4 linked regions of the Lepisosteus oculatus genome follow. The protein of the gene in region 4 interacts with the protein of the main gene of each other region in a pairwise test. Links are inferred from orthologs where the notes say so. Each region holds a gene or a part of one and is shown on either strand. Other genes may lie near its edges. The genes, in order: ppcdc, scyl3, rbm45 and txn2.

The links.
Region 1: the proteins of txn2 (region 4) and ppcdc interact in binary tests that used the Homo sapiens proteins (3 or more experiments, as listed by UniProt). The two-hybrid records come from large-scale screens. The link is inferred for Lepisosteus oculatus from reciprocal best matches to the Homo sapiens genes TXN2 and PPCDC.
Region 2: the proteins of txn2 (region 4) and scyl3 interact in binary tests that used the Homo sapiens proteins (3 or more experiments, as listed by UniProt). The two-hybrid records come from large-scale screens. The link is inferred for Lepisosteus oculatus from reciprocal best matches to the Homo sapiens genes TXN2 and SCYL3.
Region 3: the proteins of txn2 (region 4) and rbm45 interact in binary tests that used the Homo sapiens proteins (3 or more experiments, as listed by UniProt). The two-hybrid records come from large-scale screens. The link is inferred for Lepisosteus oculatus from reciprocal best matches to the Homo sapiens genes TXN2 and RBM45.

The regions. Positions count from the first base shown.
Region 1 is NC_090700.1:51,226,860-51,234,804, forward strand, and holds the start of ppcdc (phosphopantothenoylcysteine decarboxylase), read right to left. Parts: upstream 3,023-7,945; 5' UTR 2,998-3,022; coding exon 2,848-2,997; intron 1-2,847. UniProt on the Homo sapiens protein: Catalyzes the decarboxylation of the cysteine moiety of 4-phosphopantothenoylcysteine to form 4'-phosphopantotheine and this reaction forms part of the biosynthesis of coenzyme A.
Region 2 is NC_090704.1:8,501,695-8,508,841, forward strand, and holds the start of scyl3 (protein-associating with the carboxyl-terminal domain of ezrin), read left to right. Parts: upstream 1-4,144; 5' UTR 4,145-4,382; intron 4,383-5,119; exon of another isoform or gene 5,120-5,157; 5' UTR 5,158-5,194; coding exon 5,195-5,359; intron 5,360-5,852; coding exon 5,853-6,038; intron 6,039-6,803; coding exon 6,804-6,917; intron 6,918-7,147. Other genes in the region: prg4b (proteoglycan 4b), read right to left, coding at 395-470. UniProt on the Homo sapiens protein: May play a role in regulating cell adhesion/migration complexes in migrating cells.
Region 3 is NC_090707.1:17,836,230-17,843,343, reverse strand, and holds the start of rbm45 (RNA-binding protein 45), read right to left. Parts: upstream 3,011-7,114; 5' UTR 2,881-3,010; coding exon 2,605-2,880; intron 1-2,604. UniProt on the Homo sapiens protein: RNA-binding protein with binding specificity for poly(C). May play an important role in neural development.
Region 4 is NC_090707.1:39,758,216-39,765,317, forward strand, and holds the start of txn2 (thioredoxin, mitochondrial), read right to left. Parts: upstream 3,005-7,102; 5' UTR 2,842-3,004; intron 525-2,841; 5' UTR 365-524; intron 1-364.

The sequences.
Region 1 (7,945 bases), on a different chromosome or scaffold from region 4:
ACAACAGTGTGTTGAGAGAGCCTTTATCACATCAGATAACATTGGCTAATTATTTCAGCTTTCTTAAGTGTCTTAACATCGGTCTTGCAAATGCTACTTGCCAAGGAAGCCATATACTGGATTACTGAAATCCTTCATGCATAATAAAGTGCACATATTCCTAAAATACATTTAGTTTTAATAACATAATAAAGCAAAAACCCCAGCAAAAACATGAATGATTTCTATCACAGGTTCTATAAAAATTGATTTTTTACATTTATTTTGAGAAGTTTGAGAATTCGTGAAACAAAGTGTCACACCTTTATCCCTACATTTAGCTGTAAATAGCCTTTAATAAAAATGTTCCTAGACAAAATAGAGATCAAACACCATGTCAACATTGCACTTTTCTACAGTATCCAAAGTTATGGAATATAAAATAATGAATATTGAATCAGACTTTTTAAGATAAGCCAATATTTGTATTTGAAGCAGCATGTCCATATTTTGTGAACAATTATGTAAGAGTTGCAGTAAACATCACTATTTAAGCTGACCAGGGTATAACTCTAAGAACTATTTGACATTTTAAGCAGCTGGGCATTCTGGCATCCTAATGTATCATTTCTTCCTGACACAAAATACCATTCTTTACTGGGTAACATAAAAGGTTAGCCACTGGTGCAACTGATGTGTAAAAGGGACTCAGCAATATATATGCTTTAATGTTAAAGTTCGAGGAGACATATTTCCTCTCTGCTTGGCTCTCCAGCATAGTTTTGAAGTTTGAGTAGGTAGCAACGTCAGCATGCCTAGGCTGCAAAGGAACGGGTAAAGGTTTATTCCATGCTGAAAGGAAAAGAAATTAAACAAGATATTGGCTGTGAAGTCTTTTGAAATTTAAGTTTTGAAGTATGCCTATTACAAAGACCTCAGAACTGATCCAAGACTTTTGGAATCTCTACAATACTGAGTTTCCATTGACTTTTACAACCCTCCAAAAGCAGAAATGAATACACTCCACTAAGAAGAGTTTTTTTTCCTTTATGGCAATACTATTAGCTCTAACATACTTTTCTCTGATTCAACTAATGTCACAGGGATACCTTCACCATTTTAAACATCACTTTACTTGTCCTATACAATTTCTTGCATTATGAATTCCTCTTTTCGCATACCCCAGCTTGGTCTCCATGAGACACAGACACACAGACGGGGAGAGAAGCCTGGGGTAAGCCTGGGGTAGTTACAGGTGTTTATCTCCAAGAGTTATCTTACATAAAGGCTATTTTTGTATTGGTTCTCTAATTTAAAGAGGACAAATTTTCACACTATACAACTTTCATGTTTCACTTTTCATATATGGAAATACATTTTAGTTTACCCTACAACAGACCATAGTCAGACTAATTTGCAACTCACAGGTGTGGATTTCAAACACAAATACAACCAAAGCAGGTTGACAAATGTGTTTTATTACTAGATTAAAATCAATGAAAAATGCTTGTCTGAACATAGTTTATCCATATTTTACATAAGGCTTCAATCTCTCTAGTTTTGTATCCATTTCAAGACATAAAATTACTGTAACGTAAAATTGCTGAATAATGTAAAATTGCTGAATTATGAACAACTTAAATGCTAGAAGAGAACCCAATCCCCTAAAATTAATTCAAAATACAGACTCCAGATGACCACACAAGGAGGCTGTGCACCTGAACAAACAAAAACATAACATTTGTAAAGATTCTGTAAAGACATTTGACATTTTCATAAAAATATAACTTTTCATATTCCATGTTAACTGTATATTCTTCCCTAGAAACTAGCCATATTTACCTATGATGGATACCAAGTCATCACTGTATTATGGAAATAAACTTGTAAACCTCAGTTTTTACTGAATGAAATAAGATAATTTAAATTCATGCTGACAATCACATTTTCTTTTTGTTTAGCATGTATTTAGACCGGTCGATTTCAAAACACTATGAGGATATGTAAGGTTTAAAGAAAGGGGTTATTCAGGTAATACTGCAAACCTAAAAACCCACTCCCAAAAATTGAGTCCACTTAGAGGAATATTACCAATATAAGTTTTTAACATTTTAACATCTTGGCATATGAGAGACATATCAGCTCCCTAAAAATAAACCTTAATAAGTCATTTTTGGGATTGCCTCAGTGTTGGGTTTGTTAAGTTTTTTTGCAAAAAGGCAAACATGGTGGTATCATCTTCTAAAATAGAAGGTCCCAGTTCCGGTCATCTGGAGCCAAAGCCCAGCAGGTTTTCTAAGTCTCATTTAATGATAAACATCTTAAAATCTTACAGAGACCAGACTAAACTGGAGTTGGGACTATTTTCTAACTGATATAAAATCTTGCTTTCCATTATCTGAACAAGTATTCAATAAGACCTAAGTTCAGCATTGACAATCAGGACAGAGCAAAATAAAAGTGTAGAAGTGAATAAGATCACAAATGCAATAGGTTGGAAAAGTGACGATTTATTTATAATGATATTTAAAAAATTAATACAATTAATCGTTATTCAGTAACCTACATATCCGGGTCTTTCTTGGAAATCTGATATTATTTTAGTTTTATTTCGGGAGTGGTGAACTTTTACATTTAACTATAATAGTGTCTGAAGAGTGTTTCACAGATATTTTAAAGACAACTTTACATTCCAAATTTAGCAATAGCATTTAGCATGTTCAATACCTCAACAAAAACAGTATTCATAAACCGAAAAAATGAAGGAGGCTATATGGTTTCAAAAAGTACTTTATTTTCTAGGAAAAAGACAACCACACAAGTCCCCAGAAAAGTGCGATTACAACACGCATCACACCTATTACTTACCCTAGGTAATTCTAGAAGTTTTCTGACCAGCAACGGTAATTTTATGGCTGCTACGCTACCAGTTACCCCAATCAAGACACGAAAATTAGAAACGGTGTCAGTTTTTGAATCTATCTCTGTACAAAGTACGCTTCCAGCTGGCCGATGCATGCCTGTTTCCTCAACACTGCCGGTGTAAACCGGAAAATGACGGCGAAGAAACCAATAACGAGGAGCAATGATGGACATTGAACGATATTTATTTTTGACTTTTGGAGATGTTTTATGAAATCAAAATATTACCATTTAATATTTGAATTTCAAGTTTAAATAATTTATTTACACAGATTTAGTCAAATCTGGAAATAAACCTTAATAGTTAGATAAGAACCCCCCTGTACATATTGGTATACGCGAGACTTGACGGAAGTTGAGAACCGAAAGAATGGGTGACGTTGTGGAGGAGGTTTCCACGCTTGTGTGGAAAACGTAGTAGATGCACTTTATTGCATTTTTCCCCTCTGCACTAACAAAGTTGTACATGTGTTAGTAATTCTCCTAACACCTTCGGGATTAGCGTAGATAACATGGACTTTGATTAAAAATGTGTATGCATTCGGTATACCTGATCATTTTTGGAAATATAAATTCTCCTCAGTATATGAAATTAAAAATATGCTGTCCTGAAGTACAGGACAAATTCATTAGGAATAAACCGTAAGTGTTCTCTCAGTTTACGGATTTAAAGAAAAAAGCATTATTTCTTGATTTGTTTTCAAACATAAATCGGCATATTTGAAACACTACGATCCATAACATTTACAGCCTCGGTCTGCACTTAAGGGACACTTAAGGTTCCTTGATAAGAACTGATTCTACAAAGAGAAAGACATGCATTCAGTTACAGAATAAAACTACTGAAAACGTTTTATGTAAAAAAAAATCTACGCTCATAGTGAAAGTGGTAACAGAAGCTTACGTTGTACTAATTTAAATGTCCCCAAAACGTAATGAGATAATATAGTTACTTATTTTAATAAAAAAATACAGCATAATTTAAAATAATATACAATGTATGTGGTAGAAAACCGTTTGGAAGAGATTTTGAAACATGTGATTTCAAATATCTTATAAAAAGGTTCATAGGTGTACCATAACCATAACACGTCACAGCCATATTAAATGTGCAGTGAACATTACTTGAACCCAATAACGTAGCCCATTTGATGACCCTGAATTGGATGTTTTACATTTCAACTTCTGTATGTGTAAGAAAATGCTAGAGAAACATGGGTAAGCCAACGTGAATAGTATATTTTATAAGAATTTCCTAATTGTTATGGTGTCGTATATTATGTCATGGAATTGATGCGTTTCAGTCAAAAAGATAATCTGGAGGAAACAAAATCATGGTACAGTCAATAAACACAAAGATGCAACGGTATAACAAACTGACATGAAACATAAATGTCGTCTATGGACAACGAAATATTATTATAACGTATGTTGCTGAAGCCGTAATCATCCATTCTTACAGAAAACACTTCCCATCTCCCTCATCATAAACACACTTTCCACAGCACCTCCCACCAAAACAGTGATCCCGCAATTCCCCTAGACTCATAAGGTATCGTACACCAAGAAGAGGGAAGAGGCTATAAACGTGACTCTTGTATAGTGTTATTTTTAATTCAATTCCAATTCTTTTTTTTTGTTAATTCCGTCTAAATTATGATAAAATGCGTAGCTCGATGACTTAAGGTGACCTAGGTTTCCATCACACGGTATCTCGCCAATCACTTCAGTACCGTGGAGAGCGATTGCACGGATGTCGGAGTGGGAAGTTCTCGCGAGGACTGAGCACGCTTGTCTGTTGGCCGTTGCAGCAGTGACAGTGGAGACGGGGAACGGGATAGGACGACTGGACAGCGGTTTTGATTTTTACACCCACGGTCTCAGGAAAAATACAATAAAAAAAAATCTATAAGGTTTCCCCAAATTGATTCAAATCCGACATTATTCAGTATAAGTTGGAGTTTCCGTATTTCATCCGAAAAAAATATAGAATGCAGTAAGAAACACTGCATTGTGTACTCTTGTTTGGACAGAGAAGAAGGTAAGGCGATTATTTTACGCATCCAATGGAAGCCTAAGTAAATCAAGGCCCTCGTTCTTCAGGTCATTCCGACACACTTGAGTCGCTGGTGAATTACAGAGAAACGTGTTCATTTACAGCGTAAATAAACGTCAGTTACATTCATGCATTTTATGGCATTTCGTCTGTCTTTTCCACCGTTGGATGTACTGTATACTATAATGTGTCAAGCATCATAGTAAGGAATTGATGTGTGTAATAGTGCAAGAAGATAACCTCTGTTGGCCGACTCATTTCGAACAAGACGAGTGATTCAACACTCCGATTTACAGTAGATTCTTCTAAATGGCTTGATGACAACATAGGATTTAAAAAAAAACATATAGGTACGGACGATTCTTATCTCCTGCTTAAAGACAGCTGATTTCAGTATATTGCCCTGAACTCTAGTCTATTTTTTCTAATCATTTATGTGTTGTTTTTGAAATATGTATATGCTTAATTAAGATCTCAGTTGCATTACGTGTCAAAACAATGCATTGCTTAATCTAGCACAATGTCAAAGTCGTATGATATAATATTAAAAATTACATTGTAAGAACGTAATGACATCCTACATTCAAGGCGTGTTATCAGATATAATATAATGCTGTAGTGAAGGGTGTTGCTGTAGTGTTACGTGGAGCTTTTATCTATATTCAGGAAAAAGGAAGTAAAATATGCAGAATTAATTCATGCTGACTATACATACTGTTCAGCAACTACAAACAGACAACGTTAGCAGATAGCAGTTCCATATTTTGCAACAGTGTTTGCCAGAACAGAGGTCACCAGTATATGAAAAGCTTTTATCTTGTATTTTGTATACTGTAACCTCCATTCCTGACAGTACTGTAAATCCAGTTACCATAGTGAAAACATGTCTTCTGTGGGTTGGTGCAATATTTGACAAAACATTTATTTTTTCTTGGAATTGTGATATGTTAGAAATAATACTATTACAGTTTTATAGCTGTGCTGTTAACCTCATCTTTTTTGTTAAAGTTATGACAGTAGACTCCAGTTGACCTTGAGCAATGAGCAAGATATCCAGATTTTAAAACACAGAACGTTTGTACACTCAATGTATCATAGATCCATATAAATTTCAGTAAGGGTAATTTAATTGATACAGCACATTACATTTCAAAGGATCCAAAACCATTTTACATACAGTATATTAAAGGATCCACTTCATCCACCACTTAAGTGTATCACTCACCTGGGTGATAGACAACAGCCAATATGTGAGATTAGTACATGCACAGCATTTGAAAACAAGTTTCTGCTGTGTACAAATGTCCTTGTACATTTACAGAAACTTTCAGTCACTTGGATTATGTTTAAAAGCAGTAGTTCAGTTGTAGTGTATGTAAGTGAAAAACGCAATACATTGGACTAAAAAAGTGAAAAAACAACATGTTAAGATTTATTGTGCAGCCTTCAAAATTTACTTTAGTCTTATCATTTGACAAGGGTATAAAATCTGCAGTAAACTATAGCCAACTTTATTTCTGTGGTTTGTACAAAGATCTTAATGAAAATAACCTGCCTTAGCTCTCTCACAGTTGTGATCAGTAATGGGGAAGACCCCAGTAGCATTGTTGTTCTTCAACAATATAGGTAATTGCTTATGGTTGTATCAGACAGGAATGGAAGCGCATGGAATTGTGAGCTCAGAGAGGGCTCCCTTGCTGCTGAATTTATCTATATAATAAAGCCTAACATTGTTGGACATGGAAGTATACACTATTAACTCCAACTTCAAAGTTAAGACATTGATTTAAGTTTCCGTTATCCAACAAATGTATTTAAATGTGAGTTTGCTGAGACCCATTTGTGAAACACGTATCTGGGATGTAGCCCAGTTGCTGATGATTGAGCCATAAACAAGCCTTGGTCATGTGAAAGTCTCAAAGTGTGCTTGTAAAATATGTAAGTACCCGGAGAAAGATGAGAGAATTGCTTAAACTGAGATATGAAATCCAAGGAAGCCTGAATCTCTGTGACTGTTAAACATAGCCCTAAGTGTTCTCTGAAATATTTTGAATAGCACCCTTTGCATATATGTGATTGCTTGTAGAAACCTGCCAGCTTTTAATGTTGCAAATAAACATAACTGCCTTAAGAAGATCTTTGACCTACTTTGGTGTTTGTGTAAATATCTAATGTTGTAGAATGTTTTTGTATAAACGGTTTATTGCAAAATATTTCAAATCCACATCCTAACAGTTTTTTAAGTGTTGTCCTCCAGAAGAGAGCTGAAAATGGAGCAGTGGATTATGAAAAAATAGCAATGTATCGTCTGAGTAGCAGAACGTGTTTTGACAAAAGTGTACACATGGAATATATATATCTGATGACATCAATATTATTCTAAGAAAAAATTAGTATAACTGTTTGCCCTTAACACAGAGAGGCATTAGAGAATTCCTGACAAACCTTCCTTTAAGAAGGCACTATATTTAGCAAACTTCATTTCTTCAAGCTATATGCGTCCTGCTGGTGACCTGGGTGACTTTGTTCCCATGGATTGGTATGACTACTGTGTAGATACTCTGCTCCTACTGTAGATATGTGTCTAAAGATATCTAACTGAATTTTTAACTCAGTTCAAGGTAGCAGAGTTATTACATGTCCCAGCTTTCAAGTAATTTTGTTACTTGCATTCTGTATTTGTTCTTCATGTGATCTGAATGCTGCCATAAATTACTTCTAGCATTTTATATTTTTGTAGTACTGTGCACATTTGAGCTGTAATAGGAGTTAAAGAGCTTTGCTAGTATAATATAGAGTGCTAGTGATTGTTATCCTCTGCTGGAGGATTTGTAGGATGTACTGTAGGAGTTTTTCAGATTTTGTAAATATTTTATGATAAGGAATGCATTTATATAGTTTTTCCATCACAAAGCACTCTAAATTGTGTTCTAGCAGTTCTCTTAGACCGATGCCTTCTATACTCCTAGTCTTTTACTGGAACATTGT
Region 2 (7,147 bases), on a different chromosome or scaffold from region 4:
AATTTTTAAATTCACCAAATACAATTATTGTGGTTACTGCTAACAATAGAAAAAAAAAGAAAAGCACAAAAAAGATCAACAGATTAGAACTTTCATCAGAAACCAGAATAAAACATAATACATGTAACCTAAACATTTCACTTCTTACTAGTTAACAACATGCACTGTGTGTGTATAGAAATGTGTGTTTTTTTTTAAACATGTTCCTTGAAGTGAGTTCAATTTCACTACAAATTCCTCTTCCTTCCATTCAAAGTTATATTTCCTTCTTAGTTCACCCTCACTTAACACACCATAGGAGTCTCATAACATCCTAGAACCTTATGCACCCAAAGAAACTCATCAGAAATCATAGTTTTACAGATTACCTCTGAGAACACAACTGGATAGTTACCTATAGCAGCAGAGAGCGGATGATAAAGACAACTAAAGACAATAATTAGAACAGCATATACAGGTGAAGCTGTCATGGTTGCTGTTTACCTAAGGAAGCAAAAAAAAAACAACAGTTAAAAAGTGGCTACTCTACAAAAAAGAAAATCACAAAACAAATGCTAATCATTTATACTATAACTAACACTGTTTCTCAAGTTTTTGAAATACTTGTGTGTTCAATTACCAGTTAAATGATCTTTCTATATCAGATATTGATTACAACTATCAAATGCATAATCAATAACGTATCTGTTATTGCATTCTGACATTTTAAATTGGTATAACATTTTACAAACCTTACCTGCCCTTCCAAATAATTTCTTTTCAGCTCAGCTAAACTAATTTTCCTCTGGTGGTTTTTTATATTCTGTATTGTGAGGGGGCTGGATTTGTCTGACAGGGCTGGTCCTTCTTATTAGCTAATCCTGCGCACAGAGCTTCCCTGCAAATACAGGAAGGCATTCTGGACTGCAACCATTTTATTCCTGGTAGTCTTAAGAAACATTTGGAAATAAACCAAGACATCTTTTACTGAAATACCCCCCACGAGGTCACGAGCCAATTCTTCAGTTCTACTAGTATGCTGGTTTAAATATTTCAGGTGTTATATATCCAAGGAGCTAATTTGGACTATATGTTTAATTATTATGTTACTAACATATTTTATAATAAATAAATCCTTACACTTACATAGTGCTTTTCTGGACACTCCACTCAAAGCACTTCACAGGTAATAGGGACTCCCCTCCAACACTACCAAGATGTATTTCCCACCTAGATGGTGTGGTGGAAGCCGTAGTGCGCCAGTACGCTCCCCAGACACCAGCTGTCAGTGAGGATGAGAACATAGTGATGGAGCCAGTTCATAGACGGGAATTATTAGCAGGCCATGAGTGGTAAAGGCCAAGGCGAAATCTGGCCAGGACACTCAGGTAACATCCCTACTCTTTTCGTGAAGCACCCTGGGATTTGTAATGACCATGGAGAGACAGGACCACAGCTTTATGTCTCATCTGAAGGACAGAGACCTTTTTTGCAGTAAAGTGTGACCATCACTATACTGAGGCATCAGGACCCACACAAACCACAAAGTCCAGCAACCTTAGCTTTCCCAGGAGGTCTCCCATCCAGGTATGAAATGTAGTCCCTAATGTTACAAATGATGGTTTGGTGAGGAAAGCAACAACAACAGTTTTGAATGAGTATACTTGAAATACTATGAAATCTTGTTATTTTTGCAGTTTTTAAAAAGATGAGATGAAGTATGCATACATAGATAAAAGGCACATAGTCAACAACAGAAATTGCACGTAATAATATACAACTTTATTTGCCATTCAACAATCTCATTCACTATACATGAACTGCTAGAAATTCCTTCTGCTTTTGCGGTCCCTCCCATTCATTCATCGTTAATAGAGAAAGACACCGTGTTCCTGGGCTGCCCACGACATGACATAATGGCTTGTATGACAAGCACTGCTTTTAATTCTTTTATTGATAAAAACATGTGGAAGATACTATCGTTAGACTCATTTCTGTGGGTCGGAAATTAATTGCTCAATTTTGGTCAGGCCACTTTTATACTGAGGTAATGTCTCCTGAGAATAACCAAGACCCCACCTTTTTGCACATGTTGAAAGAAATGATATTGAGCATTTGTCAGCATCGCTGGATGTAACATATTAAGAAATGTGTAAGTTTGTTCAACATGTTTTTAAATCTTCATGCAGTAGGTCGGTTGAATCTGCCTGACTCACCCGGTAAACTCCAACCTTCGCAGATGACCAAAGATGACTGCATGTCTGATGATTGATTAGACATCATTAAGGGATATTTTTTCATAGCAAGAACAAAAAACACATACGGTTCATTTTTTACACTGAAAAACTTCAGAAGCATAAATGATACCAGAATGGGCTCCATATAGACTCTAGCAAGAAAAAAAAGAAGTCAGCATCTTCTGATTTAATCCTTTTTAATTTATAACAGTATATTGTTTCTTGTATGTATTTAAGGCATTTCTTCTTGTTTTAAATCTGAGATTTACTGGGTCTGACTTAAACGGGTCCTTCAGCCTGTTGTGTTTAAAATTTAAATGTGAACTGTGGTCAGTGGCAATCGTGAATTAAATTACTAGCATTGACAACAAAATGCATTTTAGTAAGGAGTGGAAGCAGTAGTTGAACACAATACGTACTACAACACAAAGGCAGTATTTAAGTAAACATGTAAGTGGCAGAAATTTGATATTAGTGCTAACATAGAAGAGGCAGACGTGTTATAGGTACGAGTTAAACAAATTTGAATGGCCAGATGATATTTTACCAATTGTTCTTGCAAAGAAACAAGATGGTATTAACAGGATATTTGTAAAACAGAGGCAATATTTCAATGACTGGGAAATTGCTAATGCGGTGGCTACCCACTAAAACTAGTAGTTACAAACATTAGAATTAGAACGGATCTACAGTATATGCCTCTCAATATAAATGCGATCGTGCGGTATTATCAAGGTGGAATTAGAAAGGGTGGTTCTTTAATTTGTCTTCGAACAGCCACAGCAGCCATGAATACAGAGTACGTGACTTCCGTTAATGTGCTTGTTTTATGAAAATGAGCGCAGTCATAAAATACTACTAGCAACAGGTGTTTTACTTACGAAGAGGATCGGTAATTTTGCACTGTAATAATAATAATTGCTTACACTTATATAGCGCTTTTCTGGACACTCCACTCAAAGCGCTTTACAGGTAATGGGGACTCCCCTCCACCACCGCCAATGTGCAGCATCTACCTGGATGATGCGACGGCAGCCATAGTGCGCCAGAACACTCAGCACACACCAGCTCTCAGTGGGGAGGAGAGCAGAGTAATGAAGCCAATTCATAGATGGGGATTATTAGGAGGCCATGATTGGTAAGGGCCAATGGGAAATTTGGCCAGAATGCCGGGGTTACACCCCTCTCTTTTCGAAAAACGCCCTGGGATTTTTAATGACCACAGAGAGTCAGGACCTCGGTTTTACGTCTCATCCGAAGGACGGCGCCTGTTTACAGTATAGTGTCCCCGTCACTATACTGGGGTATTAGGACTCACATGGACCGCAGGGTGAGCGCCCCCCTGCTGGCTCCACTAACACCTCTTCCAGCAGCAAGCTTAGTTTTTCCCAGGAGGTGCCCCATCCAGGTACTGACCAGGCTCACACCTGCTGAGTTCAGTGGGATGCCAGATGTGAGTTGCAGGGTGATATGGCTGCTGGCTGTAAGACAGCAAGACATTAAACTGTATATAATACAATTACAATGAATAAGAGGGATTGTTTGAGACAAGAAATCGTGGTTCAATTACAGCTATGAGCATTTATTAAACACAACATCAAGTATCGGTATTGCATGTCTATCCTGGTTTAACCGTACAGCCAAACCAAGTACCTCTCCAAGCTCGAGTGCCCTTGTGCACAAGCACTACTGTGTAAAATCGGCACCGACCATGTTGGTGAATAAGAGAGGTGTGTGATACTCAGTGCATCGACAGTGTGACGATTTAGAAGAACATTGCTTGAACAGGTCCAATTTAATAATATTTATATCGTTTGGTATAAGTTAAAAACCACGTTTAATTATTTTAGTAACACCGAGTTTAACCCACAAAGCTAAAACCACTCCCTTTCCAGAGTTGGTAGAATCGGTTCGCCTGACAGGAAGAACCGGTGTTTACAGTCGAAACACAGGAAGCTCAGAACTGTAAGACGTGTTTGTTAAGTTTTCGCCACCAAAATGGAATTCATTCACCGATTATGAGGCGTGAAACAGTTCAGATCGGCGGCAGTTTCAATGGCGTGACCATCTGAAGTCAGTAGAAAAGCCTGTTAAAACAACAAGGAGGTCTACAGTGGAGTGGTAGCTGAGCAAGTACTGCTCAGAGAAGTAAATATTTATTCACAGGTAACTTAATTCAGTGGAATATGTGTCATATCGAACAATGAAGAATAAACCACACAGTCCTTCTAGTTTGCTTAAATTAGCAGAACAGATGGATAGACCAGACGGTCGCAATACATTTTTCATTTTGTGTAATTTGTTTCTTAACGGGTGTGCAGTGTATTTCAGAATCCGCGGCCATTGCAAAATACACGTTTCCATCTGTTAGTCACCTAACACGAGGGGTTATTAGTATGCAATTTCCGTCTTTGGATTCCAGACCATGCATTTTGCAATCAACTATAACGCCAAAAGGCTCAAATCTTAGTACAAGGAATGAATCAGATCTTCAGAATTGGCACTACTAATCGAACTACTGTTCGTTGAAGATGCAGAAACTCAGATGATCTCTAACGGATTTATTTCGGGTCGACGATGTTTGGTTGATTTAAGTTTTGCAGTCTGAAACACAATTACCTGTACTTCTGCATTTTGCTGTACTCTCCGCATGCGTCTGTGCCACTATTCTATCGGGACTGCATAAAGCGTTCTGTGATGGTGGTCACCAAACTGATGCGCTGCATATAATGACTGGTCGAGGAGTCACTTCATAGTGAAGTTCTTCATAAGAATTTTGCACCTTAACTCAGTATTTGGTGGAAGGATCTTTGGCAGTCATTTAAGTTTGCACAGTGGTGTGGTGTAGTTTTGCCCGGTCTTCCAGGCTTTCAGATACTTTCATCAGTTGTTCATTCCATCAGAGCATCATTAGTCATTGTGCTGGGTGATTGACTGGCAGAGACCGGGAGAAGGACTGCTGTTTCCCTGGGGTGACCATGGGCTCGGACAGCAGCACACTGAAGAGCTGCACCCTGGAGGAATGTCAGCTGAGCCTCCCATCCGGACTCACCATGTACTCTGCCCTCCTAGAAGATGGGAAGCCAGCCTCAGTCTTCGTCTACAGGCCGGACAGCGAGGATAAAGTTAACAAGGCTGCTAAGGTAAGGAGAAGAAGCAGTGAATTGAAATAGGGTAAAAGTGAAGGACAGCCTTGGTCCCTGGGCCCAACAGTCATCCTGGGTTTAGAGGAATTTTGAAATCCAAGACAATTTGTGTGGTTGCTAAGATGATTTTGTCAAAATAAAATGGATAATTGTATACAGTTGTATAAATAATTAGCGTGGTTTTCAAAAGATGGGCACCACTGGGTTAATCAGAGGTGATTTAGATTAAGAGCATCATATTTAGTGAATTTCCAAGACAGACTTACCTTTAAATCTTTTTGTGTCAATTTTGGTTATGGAATCGGAATAGGTTTAATTATTTTGGCTGGGGAAAAGTCATGAATGGCCCCAATTCATGACCTTTGTGCTGATGTTTGCAAACATTAGGATGAACAGCTACACTCTTGACATGCCATGGAGCGCTCATACGGATGAATGTAAGTGTTTACCTGCTCAACTCATGTGGTCTCTTACCTGGTTCACACGGCAGCACCTGAAGACCCTGCGTCACCCCTGCCTACTGCGTTTCCTGTCGTGCACAGTGCAGGCTGGGGGAATCCATCTGGTAACGGAACACGTGCAGCCACTGGAAGCCATGCTGGAGAGCCTGTCTCCAGAGGAGATCTGTTCCGGACTCTACGACATTCTGCAGGCCCTCGTATTCCTTCACGACAGAGTAAGAGTCGTTCGCCTAGCTGGCCACCAGAGATCTTCAGCACACCGAGTTAGTTTGCGCTGGCCGAAAGCACCTTTTCCCCAAACACTTCACTTCCAGGTTGTCCAAGAGAAAATGCTGCACCTTTTCTGATAACTTATCAATAGCAAAAATACCGTGAATGAAAGTTTTAATGACTGTAATTTATTTAAATATATTAGCAAGTGATAAATTACACTAATGACAATGCATACCACTTGTGCAAGAGTTGTTCCTTGCACAGATTTCATTCAAGTCATTAAACAAAATGATTGAAAAAAAATACTTTTCCCTCATAGAGTAATAGCACATTGTATTACTAATTTGTTTAATGTTTTTATCCAGTGTGACTCACAGAGCTTACAGTTGCTTTTTTTACATATAAACCTTGGTGACCGTGTACACAGCTGGGTTTATGGGAGTGACATGGGGTAAAGTACCTTGCTCAAGGGTACTGAAGCAGTATCCTCACTTGGGATTTGAACCTGCAACCTCCAATGGGGAGCCTTAACCACTACTCCACAGTGCAGTGCTGTACCAATTACAGACACAAGAAAATATATGTAACTGTAGAACCTAGGAACAGTTTTTACACATGCTGACTTAAAAAGTAGTCTGTTTCACAAAACAATCACATGTGACAACATCTCAGTTTTTTCGTCCGTGCTCTGGTAACACACTCCTGCCTGGTGTGGGGATTTCTCCTTTTATCTGCCTTTAACTGAACCTGGCTTGTCTGTACTTCAGGGTAAATCCAGCCATAACAATGTGTGCTCGTCATCAGTCTTTGTGAGTGACGACGGTCACTGGAAACTTGGGGGGATGGAGACCGTCTGCAAGTTCTCTGAAGCCTCCCCTGAGGTGAGAAATGTTTAGACTGTCCTGGTGGATTAAATATGTCTGTATGTACCTTTGCAGCTGCATCAGCTTAACCCCTTAACATCTGTTGGGCCACAGGTACATTCATTTTTGGTAACGATTGTGAATTGTGGCCTTGGGATGAAATTAAGTGTGATTGGCATCCAATCACTTTCCACCAAATGTAGGGCCTATCAAGATTCCAAAAGAACTATTACTTCATTTTTTAGTTG
Region 3 (7,114 bases), about 22 Mb from region 4:
AAAAGCAGCTCGAGTGGCAATATAAAAAAATGATGTAAATGAGCACTTCAAAGGCTCAAACTTTCATGCTGCACTGTGATCCGGAGCTTGAAGGTCACATTTTACCATTTACCGCAAGGGCTGGAGTTGAAGCCAGGGCTCCATCATTTTCTTCTTCCAAAGCACTTAGTAGGATACCGTGGAAAGGATGATTTGGAACAGAGGATTGACTTGTGGAATCAACACTTTTTTCCCCCCCAATACCTAAAGAAAATCAGGTGTTTGCTGGCACCCTCTGTAAATGAATCTGTGCTACAAGCAGTGCAAAGGTGTATGCCACAGCTGTGATACAGCCATAAAAAGAACACCGATGAGTAAATAAGTACATTGTTTTATATTGCTGCCCAATATGACACAGTAACGCCATCATAACCACATCTGACTGGTACAGCCTTATGTTAATTGAACACAGATGTTCATCCACATTCACACAATGCTTCAAAATATTAAAAATCCTTTTCCTTCCTACGGGTGGTGGCTGGAGATTCTTCCAAATAATGATGCCGGAGGAAATCTCAATGGTCTGAATGCAGCATCCCTAAACCCTAAAAAATGCCCTAAACATAATGGCATTGTATGCTAATGCGCTTTACAGTTAAAATCCATTTTCAGTGCAGCCATTATCCATAACTGCCTCATCCTAAGGAAGGGCCTAACCCAGCCGGCACCTTGCTCAAGACAAGTGTACACCCTGGATGAGATGACAGTCTAAAACAGGGGACACAGGAGTAACTTACAGACACCGGTTTGAAAATTATGTTGAATACACGTTAACATTCTTCAATGACTTTACAGCCATTACAGATCATGTAGCTGAAACAAGGGTTTTCCATTAAACCACAATGAACAATATCTGGAACATGTTACCGCTTTACGTAACGTAAAACGGTTACCAACATGAATAAAACACGCTGTGGTATTTGCCAAACAGGCTACAACATAATGGTTGAGTTATGATCCCATTTACTTTTCTTTCATTTGCACACAAACACATTCAACAAGGGGTGTAGGGCTGTTAAATCCAGTGTACTGGCCAAAGTTCCCCCTGCCTTTATCAATCATGGCCTCCTAATGATCCCATCTATGAATTGGCTTCTCCTTCCTACTCTGTTCTCCACCCCACTGATAGCAGATGTGTGGTGAGCGTACTGGCGCACTATGGCTGCCGTCACATCATCCAGGGGCTACACAATGGTGGTGATGGAGGGGAGTCCCCATTACCTGTAAAGCACTTTGAGAGGATTGTTAAGAAAAACACTATTAAAAATGGTATTATATAAATCAATAGCCAGGCAGGACAATGTTGTTTCTTTGTTTTTACATTTAAAAAAATACCTTAGAACTAAAAATGAAATTAATGCATGCTACCTTACAGTAGAACCCCAAGCATGCAAGCCCATTTGTTTAGCTTTTGGTGAAAACATTTTGAAATGCTATTGTTACATGTCCTTCCACACATGAGATGGTTATCTGTTCGGGGAAAAATAACATACATCTCCCACCCTGGCCTTTCTATAACAAACACCAGTCATTGGTCCATCAGGTGACATCATACCAGAGCAGTCTGGCTGGTCACTTCACATCAAGTAGGACAAAATTAAAACAACCGCGTGTGTGCGTCTTAAAATCCCTAAATCCGATTAAAAAAAACTTCACTATCAGTTTGGGACTAACCTACCCCACCTATACAAAGATATTAATGCATATTTAAATCTATATATACGTATAATATTTACATCTAGATTCAATTGAGCTTTTATAAATACCGTCATTTTTTTAATCATTTTTACAACACCTAGGAAAGCTATAAATTATGTGCTATCTGAGGAACTTGTGCTCAACGCGTGCGAGAAAATAAATCTGCAAGAACTACAGTTACAGTATTTTGGACGTTTTGATGGCGAAGGAGCAAAGCACGGCTGTAATCCAGTTCGGCTGCATTTACAAAGACATCTTTTCTTCGGGATACGTTCAGAAGAACCGATTCAGAAGAACGTAGGTTCAAATAATACATTTTCGACATGTAAAGGGATGCCACATTTCAAATTAAAATTCAAATAACAGCCCCTCAGCTAAAAAGAAAACCTCAAACGTCAACAGGCATAAGTGGCAAGAAGTGCATGCAAATTTCAGGAAATCAGGGAAACACAATATCCATTCTGAAAATGGATTAGGACGCAAAATGAATTGCAGACATAAAATCGTTTAAAGGTGCAGTTACACGAACCTTTCATCTTACTTTGCTAAGAGATAGCCTTGAGTGGTATTTGAACGATATACAATAACTCCGGCTATATGCAAAATGAGGAGCGAGGCCCAGAAAACGCGAGCGCAGCTTAACGAAGCGCCTATGAGTTTAGCTTCACGCATTTCACTGTTTACGTATACAAGTTAGTGGGATACGAAATACACTATAAATAAAACCAATTCGACGGTTTGGCGAAAGAGCAAGCGTCACATTCGCCATGATTCCTCGAAATTCCATCCGCATTTTGTCAACGACGCTACGTGTGCTGAACAACAAGACAGCAAATGCAAAACGCCAGGAACTTGATATATACAAACCTTAATGGGTTTGGTTCCTTCTGCAAGACATTTCCCGTGCATTTCTTCCATAGCCCGACATGCTTGCGACGATTTGGCGAACTTAACGAAGGATACCCCTTTTGACTCTTTTGTTTGCTTGTCTTTCACCACCCAGATATCTTGAATTTCTCCGAAAACCGAAAAGTGCTCACGGATCACCTCTTCAGAAGTGGATTTGCTCGTCACTAAAAACAAGCGGCTGTTTGGAGGGTCGTCGAGACTGTCAACGGACGGCCTAAAACTATAATCTTCCATCTTCTTAACCTTAGGCCGCGGCTGGTTTGGAAATGTGCACTCTTACGGTTTGCCGTTTGTCAGACCAAAACCTAGAATCACTCGGATAACAAAAAAAATCAGACCTCACGCCGCCGCTAACCCTTTACAGCCACAAGAGCGCAGCACCTCCTCTTTTAATGCCACGGAAATTCTATAGCGCCATCTGTTGGCATGGATCCGGAATGCATCAAGTGGAAAGCACCACCGTGAACCCTTCTCTACTTCTCTACAGGCCTTCTGCTCGTGATGTCCTCCTCTTGTCGGTCTCCAGGCCCCCCAGAACAGGTTCTCTTCACCCCAGGGCATTTCCAAGACAATTGCTTCTGAAGAAGTGTTTCAAAAATATGATAAAAGCAAAGAAAAGAAATGCAACACTGACTTGGGGTGTGGTAGGACTCTGAGGAAGTGGAGGAAAAAATGCGGGGATGAGCCCAGCACTGAGACCACAGGGAGGAAGCAAAGCAAGAGTGACAAAGAGAATGCACACTGGCTGGATTCCGCAGACAACATCTAAATATATATCTCTGTCCTGAGACAACACCAGCTCAACCTGCCAAAGTGAGGGTTCCACTTTGATCTGACCAGTCACCTCTGAATTCACAAAAGTCAGTCATTCTCTACCATGAAGAACAGCCTATAATATACATGTAATATATTAGTATAATAATATACATGTATATATTCATTAAACACAAGGCTCTGTGGCTAAGGATCTGCGCCTGTGGCTGGAAGGTTGCTGGTTCGTATCCTGCTGCCGGCAGAGGAATCCTACTCTGGTGGGCTCCTGAGCAAGGCCCTGATCCCCAACTGCTCCAGGGGCAACGTATAAATGGCTGACCCTGCGCTCTGACCCCAAGCTTCTCTCCCTGTCTGTGTGTCTCTCAGAGCAAGCTGGGGTATGCGAAAAGACACATTCCTAAATCAAGAAATTGTATATACTGTAGCCAATAAAGTGATCTTAATTCAGTTTTAGTATGTGTTGGTAAAATTGCCATTTAAAAAAAAAATAATCATGAAAAAGTTAGTTATTTGTAGTCATTTTAATCAATATAATCACCTGCAGAATAGGTGGCTTGTCTTTGGACAGGTAATGTTTTCCTATTTTTTTAATTTCCTGTTTTATTCTGCAGAATTGTCTATATTAAAAACATCAATTTCAGTTTCTATATAAATATTTTATATTATAGCCCCGACTAGCTCTGTTGGTAGAGCATGAGACTCATAATCTCAGGGTAGTGGGTTTGTGTCCTACGTCGGGTACAAGGTTCTTTATTAACCCATACTGGGCAGCAGTATGGGGCGGTGTTGGCGGTGGAGGATTATGTTTCCATGACAAAGGCAACAACACTAGCACTATCCATGTGGAAGAAAGGCCTGGCAATCTACATCTGTCTCTTGCCATGAAAACTCTGTGGATAGTGATGGGGTAACTGTCCATAGGGTTGCCATGAATCGACAGCACTCATCCCATCCCATTCTATATTATAAATGGTACACCAGTGTGGTTCTATTTTTTAAAAACACATTTTGCTGAAGGACAGCGTGGCGGGCACAGTGGTTAGTGTTGCTAACCTTTGCCTCGCTGGGGCCTTGGATTCAATTCCCGACTTGTGGTGCTTTCTGTGTGAAGTTTGTATGTTAATCCCGTGTTAACGTGAGTTTTCTCCAGCTGAGTTTCCTCCCCCAGTTTAAAAACATACTGGTAGGTTAATTGGCTTCTGGGAAAACTGGCCCTGGTGTGAGGGTGTATGTTTGTGTCTGTGTGAGGCCTGTGATGGTCTTGTCCAGGGTGTACCCCGCCTTGTGCCTGTTGCCTGCTGGGACAAGTTCCAGCTCCCCCAAAACCCTGAGAAGCAGTTAGAAAATGGATAGATAGATAGATAGATAGATAGATAGATAGATAGATAGATAGATAGATAGATAGATAGATAGATAGATAGATAGATAGATAGATACTTTATTGATCCCGTGAGGGAAATTGCAGTGCAACAGCAGCTTAACACACACAACACAGCCACAGTGTAACGAATTATATAATAATAGTACAATACATACAATACAATACAAGAGTTACTCACAGTCCGGACACACAAGAACAAACTAGAACAGAACAGTACACAGAAAATCGTATCACACGTATGAATATAAATATAGATGTAACCATAGATATAAATATAAATGTATTGCACAGGTCCCTGGCATATATTGCACAAAAGTGGTTGTAAACGGGAAAAAGAAAAAGAAAAAGAAAGAGAACAGATGTAGCAGTAGATGTGTATATGCGTTTAGTCCAGAAACAGGTCACTGTCGCTGTTGCCTCTGCCAAGACGCAAGGTGGATGCGTTGTACAGTCTTATGGCAGACGGCAAGAATGACTTCCTGTAGCGCTCCCTGTCGCACCGTGGATGAATCAGACTATTGCTGAACGTGCTCTTCATTCCTGCAAGCCTGTCATAGAGGGGATGGGAGAAGTTGTCCATGATGGCCTCTAGTTTGGACATCATTCTCCTCTCAGCCACTACCTCCAAGGGGTCCAGGTCAGACCCAATGACAGAGCTTGCTCTCCTGATGAGCTTGTTCAGCCTTTTGGAATCTACTGCTCTAATCCCAGAGCCCCAGCACACCACTGCGTAGAAAATGGCACTCGCTACCACCGACTGATAAAACATGTGTAGCATCTTACTACACACATTGAAGGACCTGAGCCTCCTCAAGAAGTAAAGTCGGCTCTGTCCGTTCTTATAGATGGCCTCGATGTTCTTAGACCATTCCAGTCTATCGTCGATGTGCACTCCCAGGTACTTGTACGAGTCCACCATCTCCACGCCACTCCCATGGATGTAGACAGGAGTAGGTTTGACCTTTTTCCTCCTGAAATCTACCACCAGTTCCTTTGTCTTTGTAACATTCAGTTCCAAGTGGTTCACCCCACACCACTCCACAAAGCTGCTGACCAGTCCTCTGTACTCCTCCTCCTGCTCACCCTTGATACATCCCACAATTGCAGAGTCATCTGAGAACTTTTGCAGGTGGCATGACTCTGAGTTGTACTTAAAGTCCGAAGTATAGAGGGTGAAGAGGAATGGAGAAAGAACTGTCCCTTGAGGTGCCCCTGTGTTACTCACTACCAGTTCAGACACACAGTTCTGAAGTCTCACAGACTGTGGTCTGCCCGTCAGGTAGTCAGTGATCCACGAGGTCATGGAGGCATCGACTTGCATCTCCTCCAGCTTCCTCCTTAGAAGTAAGGGCTGGATGGTATTGAAGGCACTGGAGAAGTCGAAAAACATGATCCTTACAGTGTTGCCAGCCCTGTCCAGGTGTGAGTAGGCCCTTTGCAGCATGTAGATGATCGCATCCTCCACACCAACACTGGGCTGGTAGGCAAACTGTAGGGTGTCCAGTGATGAGCTGACCAGGGGTCTCAGGTGGGATAAGACCAGCCTCTCCAGTGTCTTCATGATGTGAGAAGTCAGTGCAACTGGTCTGTAGTCGTTGAGGGCAGAGGGGCGCCCTTTCTTTGGTACCGGGACCAGGCATGATGTCTTCCAGAGCACCGGGACTCTCTCCAAGCGCAGGCTCAGGTTGAACAGTCGCTGGAGCACTCCGCTCAGCTGATCAGCACAGGCCCTCAGAACTCTGGGACAGATGTTATCTGGTCCTGTGGCCTTACCCTCGTGCAGCCTCTTCAGCTCCTTCTTCACCTGGTCAGCTGTGATGGTCAGCCTGGCCCGGGGGATGATGCTCATAGTGCTTTCAGTGCTGGAGGTGTTAATGGCGGAGGTGTTGGAGAGTGGCAGCTGTGGGGGATGGGTGGGTGAGCAGCCGTCGGGGCTTGTAGCTGTAGGCGGCCATGTTTGTGGGGGGATGGAGGAGGTGTTGGGCAGTTGCAGCTGTGAAGGGTTAGGGAGCGTGTGGCTGTGGGGGGATGGGTGTTGCGCCACAGAGGACCCAGAATCAAACCTGTTAAAGAACTGGTTCAACTCGTTGGCCATCTCCAGGTTCCCTTCTGTTGCAACCCCAGCCTGTTTGAAGCCAGTGATCTCTCTCATGCTGCTCCATACATCTCTCACCCTATTCCTTTGCAGCTTGTCCTCTACCTTCCTCCTGTAGGCGTCCTTGCTCTCTCTTAACTTCTGCTTTAGCTCCCTCTGTACACGCTTGACCTCTTCCTTATCTCCCCCCCTAAAGGCTCTCTTCTTGTCATTCAGAA
Region 4 (7,102 bases):
GGTTGCGCCACCTTTAACTGCAATGACCACAACAAAACTCTTCTTATAATTCAATATCAGTCTTTCACATCGCTGTGGAGGAATTTTAGCCCACGCCAAATTAATCAGACTTGGTTGCGCTGCACTCGGAACCGACTATAATTAAGATTCACACTCAAACCCCTTGCCCTCTGCTCTGAGTCCTGGCGACGAGAGACAATCTCCGTGACTTTGCCCGGCTGCTGCCTGAACTTTCTGCGCCCCACACTGGGAGAAACGCGCTCCTTCCGCTTAAGCCTTAAAGGCAACTCAGCCTCATACCCTGCACCTCCAGTACCGATCGATTAATGCCCGACATCAATTAAACTTTCCCGCAACAACTTACCGTCTCTCTGCTCTCTGCACTCTGCGCCACCCGGAATACAATCTGGAGGCACACTTCCGGCAAAACCGAGACACCGACGCGCTGTCGTCACAGATAACCCAGAATTCACTGGGCTCGCCGCAATCTCAGTACCAATTGTTCAAGTCACGATGTCATTCTGCTGTTGTCATTACAAAAAAGGAGCATTAATAATTAACCTTGTAAATAATTACTGAACTATAAAAATACATTGTGTGAAAAGTTACAAAGAGCAGTATTATGAAGTTCATTATAGTAATATAGAGCTGAATTGCACAACTTTGTGGGCAGGATCCAGTATGTGGTACAGTGTGAAGACTTATGATACAGTATAAAGGAGTGAGATACAGTTTGAAGAGAGTGATACAGTATAAAGGAGTGAGATACAGTTTGAAGAGAGTGATAGATAGATACTTTATTGATCCCGTGAGGGAAATTGCAGTGCAACAGCAGCTTAACACACACAACACAGCCACAGTGTAACGAATTATATAATAATAGTACAATACATACAATACAATACAATAGTTACTCACAGTCCGGACACACAAGAACAAACTAGAACAGAACAGTACACAGAAAAATCGTATCACACATCTGAATATAAATATAGATGTAACCATAGATATAAATATAAATATATATGTATTGCACAGGTCCCTGGCATATATTGCACAAAAGTGGTTGTAAACGGGAGAAAGAAAAAGAAAAAGAAAGAGAACAGATGTAGCAGTAGATGTGTAGATGCGTTTAGTCCAGAAACAGGTCACTGTCGCTGTTGCCTCTGCCAAGACGCAAGGTGGATGCGTTGTACAGTCTTATGGCAGATGGCAAGAATGACCTCCTGTAGCGCTCAGTACAAAGGTAGTGTGATACAGTTCATTTCTTCTGGGTGACCAGAATGCTAGGCCCCTGAAACACCTCATTTGTAAATACTGTACATAGAGGAACTTGTGTGTTGTATATTTTGTTGTGTGTATTGTAGTTTGTGTCTTGTGATCATTAATAAATATTTGTTTAACCAAGTGTGCCTGGATTATTATTCCTCTCACTATAGTTGTACCAGAGAACAACAAATTCACTTGCCTCTAATTATACCAACTGTTGGGTTATATTCTGGAAAAAGCACTTACAAGTTGGGGGTTATGAATAATTATTTTAATTATTGACTCAACTTGGTCATAACCCCCCAAGAGTACCGTAACTACTGGTTGCTTTAACAGTCATTTTATTATTATTTATTATTATTTACTTAATATTTGTTTTTGTCTTTTAGTGTGATGGACTACAGTTCTGTTATTGTTGTTTTGTTTCTTTTTAATATAGGAACTCTTTTAGTTATTTTCTATTTTTCTTTAATATCATTTTAACATTTGTTTTCTTATTTTAATGTCCTTTGCTGTTAGTTGTCTCACTGTTACTGGGGTTAACTTTTAATGAAGGACATGGCAAAGTTTTTTTTGCTTTTATTATTAGTTTATTTTAGTTTTAAAACCTGTTATTCTTCTGTTTTAATAATAATAATAATAATAATAATAATAATAATAATAATTGCTTACACTTATATAATGTGGAGACCCCATTACCTGTAAAGCACTTTGAGTGGAGTGTCCTGAAAAGCGCTTTAGAGGTAATGGGGTCTCCCCTCCATCACCACCAATGTGCAGCCCCACATGGATGATGCAACGGCAGCCAGAGTGCTCCAGTCCGCTCCCCACACACCAGCTCTCAGTGGGGAGGAGAACAGAGTGATGAAGCAAATTCATAGAGGGGGATTATTAGGAGGCTATGTTTGGTAAAGATCACAGGGAAATTTGGCCTGGACACCAGGGTTACACACTACTCTTTTCAAGTTAAGACCTCAATTTATCTTTTCATCCAATGGACAGCGCCTTTATACAGCATAGTGTCTCTATCACTATACTGGGCCATTAGGACCCACACAGACCACAGGGTGAGCGCCCCCTGCTGGCCCCACTAACACCTCTTCCAGCAGCAATGTTAGTTTTTCCCAGGAGGCCTCCTATCCAGGTACTAACCAGGATCACACCTGCTGAGCTGGCAATCAAGTTGGAAAAACACTGAGCTCTGTGAGGACACTAGTTTTCTCTTAAATTAGGGAATTTAAAATTGGAAGACTAAATAATGAAAATGCTTCAGGCAAAAGCTGAAATCTGTTACTTTTTTTCACCACTTTAATGACCCCTCTGCACATGATGAAAGCAGTTATTGGGGACATTTACAGCTTTAGGTGACTGAGAAGTGTTTCTTGGATTTTAGATGACCTTTGTGACACTTGGCAGAACAAACACTTCTAGCTTCAAAGCAGAGTGGATTTTTGCTGAGGTACTGGGGGCTCTCTTGAGCACAAACAATTGTAGAGTTTACCTTAGTATCCCTAGGTAAGTAATGGGTTAATGACTGTCAAGGAGCAGTACAGACAAACAATATAAACTCACATTACTAGCACACAGAAGAAGAAGAAACAGGAAGCAGGGCAGGAGTGGAGAGAAGAGTCCAGAGGAGTTGGGACTTGAAGCTTGCACCAGGCAACCTCAGCTAGAAACGTTTAGGGTGCATTTTTATGGATAGGGATATAGGCTCCCACTTATTTTGTGGCACCTGGGGTACAGAGAGAGAGAGATTTAACCTCAGGTTGCATTGTATTCAGTTAGAAAGCAGCTTATCTCGTATGTGGCCTCTGTAGGTATTAAGAGTTTAATGCTTAGTACCAGTCTGTGGCTTTCTGGGTGACCAGAATGTTAGGCCTCTGAAACACCTTGTTTAGTAAATACTGTACATACTGGAACTTGTGAGTTGTAAGTTTTGTTGTGTGTAGTGTAATTTGTGGCTTGTGATCATTAATAAATATTTATTTCACGAAATGTGCCTCAATTATTATTCTTTTAGTTGAGCCAGAAAACAACTGTGCCTCTAATTATACCACTTGCTCTGTTCAATTCTGGAAAAAAACACCTACAAGTTGGGGTTCATGAATAAATACTTTACTTATTGACTTAAGTGCTTGGGCAGATTTTCACCAATTTTCATAAACCCCCAGTATATACACAAGTGTGTATCTGAATGTGTACATTTGTGTATCTGTATGTACACAAATATGTGTATGTAGACATGTGTATGTACACAAATGTGTATGTATGGAGAAAGAGCAAACTGGAACAGGAGCTGCAGTGTAGAGTGTAAATGGATCCCGTGCTTGAATACGTAAGGAACTATATTTTTCCTTAATTGTTACAATCACCCACTTTTGAATCTTTTGTTTGCTTTTTACATCTTCTACAAAGCAATCTCGTCATCTTTGATATCTATAGTGACTTTAAAACCAATATTACAGAATTCAATTCAATTCAGTTCAATTTATTTTTTATATAGCTCCAGGTTGTACTCTAGAAGTCCAGATCTTCTGGAAGTCTGATTCGGTCCAGGACATACTTTACCATTCTGGATCCCATGGGAGACTGATCCGCTCCGGGATTTACTCTACCAGTCCAGATTGCATGGAAGTCTGATCCGGTCCGGGTTTTACAGTTCCAGTTCGGGTATCTTGGAAGTCTGATCTGGTACGGGTTTTATTCTTCAAATCTGGATCCCATGGAAGTCTGATCCGCTCTGGGATTTACTCTACCTTTCCGGATCCCAAGGGAGAAAGTACTGCTCCAGGTTTAATCCAGCTATAAATTTGGATCCCATGGAAATCTGATCCGCTCTGTGTTTTACTCTACCAGTCCGGATCCCTTGAAAGTCTGATCCGGTTCAGGTTTAGCTCTATTAATCCGGATCCCTTGGAAGTCTGATCGACACGAGCCCACTCCTCTTCCCACTGCTTACACCCCTATAACAAATAGTTTCAGGGTATTCAAGTACAGGATAAAGAGATTACAGGTGTTCCCAATTGGCTGAGGATACAACTCTCTCTCTGAGAAAGCACACAGAGGTGGACAAAGCAATTAAATGTGTTTACAAGTCATTTCCTCTGTTTCTGGTCTTTCTTTACATATCAGAAAAGTGAACTGGTGGCTGTTGGAAAGTGTCTGCTCCGTACGTAATATACATGTAAAAGATGTGATTAAATATCTTGGTATTAAGACTTTCAAAAAGGTGATTTTGTGATTTGATGTTCTCTACCTTAGTAAAATAAAAAAAAAACTTTATTCATGGTTGCTATTTGTCAAACACGGGCAGAAGGAGGCCTAAATGCTACAGGGTTTAGAGCATCTAATACCGATACCGACAGTATTATTTACAAAATTAAGCAAAGTAGGTGGTGTATGTTTCCCTAATTTAATCATTCAGGAACTAGGTATTGATGCTTTTAAGAAACTAACAGTAGCCCATCAGAAACTATGGAAGAATTTACAACCTTTATTAGACTACAAGGAAAACAATTTAGTTATACTTGTACTAATAAATACTTCAGATCCCTCTCGCAATCTCACAATATCTTGTCAAACTATTTTGGAGCACCTCTTTGGGGAAAGTGAGTGGAATCAAACATGACTATTGTCAAACAGATTTTGTATGAATAATAAGGTTAAGGCGTCAGTACAAAATTGTACATTGAATCGACCCGGTAAAGATACACAGTGTGCATAGATTTAAAAGTAATATAGATGATAATTGTCTATCTCAAAGCAGCCCAGAAACCTTACGTTTGATTTTGTTTTTTCTGTTGTTAAAACACTCTGAACAGATCGGTAAAATGGTGTAAAGAAGGCTTCTAATTCTGACATTTCCTGTAGACAAATTGATGTTATTTTACTGCTCAATACTGCTGAACCGAATCTAAAATATAATGTATCATTGGCTTAATCATTATACTTGCTCGTTATTAGATGTAGAAATAGCCTAAAGATGAGAAATAATCGAAAATTGAATAATTAGACCGTATGTCGTAGTAGCAGAGTGTACTTCTCGCCTACTTGATGTGGTCGAGCAACTCCACAATCGCCATACAATCCGTCCGTTCTCATGCTCTGACTTTCAGGTTGGGCAGTGGGATGGATTCCAGGGCAAACTCGTTCTTGTTTGATTATCCGTGTGAAATCTCGCCCAATATAACAGGTAAGCTCATGCACTGAAATGATGCGCTTCCAAATTAAAGCGACACGCATTTGAATAATTCAAAATACACACGAGGGAACGTCTCCAAACCATGTCTAAGTATCACAACATGAAAGCTGTGCGTACCTTATCTTTATTTGACTGTATAATGTACTCCAGTGATCTGTAACGTAGTCTTGCGTGCATCGTAAAGGATCCGGATTTCCGGCTACGGAAAACCCGGAGTGGATCAGCCTTTCCACCGGACCCGGACTTCCGGCTACGGAAAACCCGGAGTGGATCGGCCTTTCCACCGGACCCGGACTTCCGGCTACGGAAAACCCGGAGTGGATCGGCCTTCCACCGGATCCGGACTTCCGGCTACGGAAAACCCGGAGTGGATCGGCCTTCCACCGGATCCGGACTTCCGGCTACGGAAAACCCGGAGTGGATCGGCCTCCCACTGGATCCGGATTTCCGGCTACGGAAAACCCGGAGTGGATCAGCCTTTCCACCGGACCCGGACTTCCGGCTACGGAAAACCCGGAGTGGATCGGCCTTTCCACCGGACCCGGACTTCCGGCTACGGAAAACCCGGAGTGGATCGGCCTTCCACCGGATCCGGACTTCCGGCTACGGAAAACCCGGAGTGGATCGGCCTTCCACCGGATCCGGACTTCCGGCTACGGAAAACCCGGAGTGGATCGGCCTTCCACTGGATCCGGACTGCCGGCTACGGAAAACCCGGAGTGGATCGGCCTTCCACTGGATCCGGACTGCCGGCTACGGAAAACCCGGAGTGGATCGGCCTTCCACTGGATCCGGACTGCCGGCTAAGGAAAACCCGGAGTGGATCGGCCTTCCACTGGATCCGGACTGTGAGCAGCTTTTGTCCAATCGGCGCTGAGATTTCAGCAGGAGGCGGGAGACAGGCTCTTGTCCAGTCACACAGCTTCAGTCCCGGGACTTTTCCGAATTCCGGCGGGCGGTGACACTTCCGAGAAATGTCCACTGGGTGGCGACAGAGATACACGGAGCTGAGTCTCAAAGCGCTATCGGAAAGACTTGAAATCGGAAATACATTTGTTACGTTTTAATCCCATTGAAAAGGAAGATGAAAATATCGTTTGTATTTTAAAACATTATTATACTTGCGCAACATAATTATTAAGGGAATGGTGTGAGAGGAGACCGTGTTTGAACAGTTTAAGACGGATGTAAAGACATTTTATTTCAGAATGTCTTTCTGAAATGTGTCTGTTTCTGTGTTGTAAGAACGTTGAAGCATGGACGGGCCTTATCTGCATTTACCTTGTTGAATCTTTTTTTCCATAAAATGTACATGTATTATTGCATGTACCCTGACAATACGACTGGTACGTTACGTTTTCTTGTAGTTTTTGGTCTCATAAAAAATACAAAAGTATGAGTCGATGACGTCAAAATGGTGTCGCCCACAGGGCTTATGGGTAATGTAGTCTCTGTAGTTCACTGGGCTGCCCTGCCCATGTGTTTCGCTGATTTCATTGAACATTAGAATGAATTATATTGATACAATTTCAGCGTATTTATCGTGTCTTGTATTTCTTTGTCTCTCTTATGTGTTCCCTTGTGTGTATGTTTTCTTGTATTTCACTTGTCTGCGGCGCTGGTTAATCG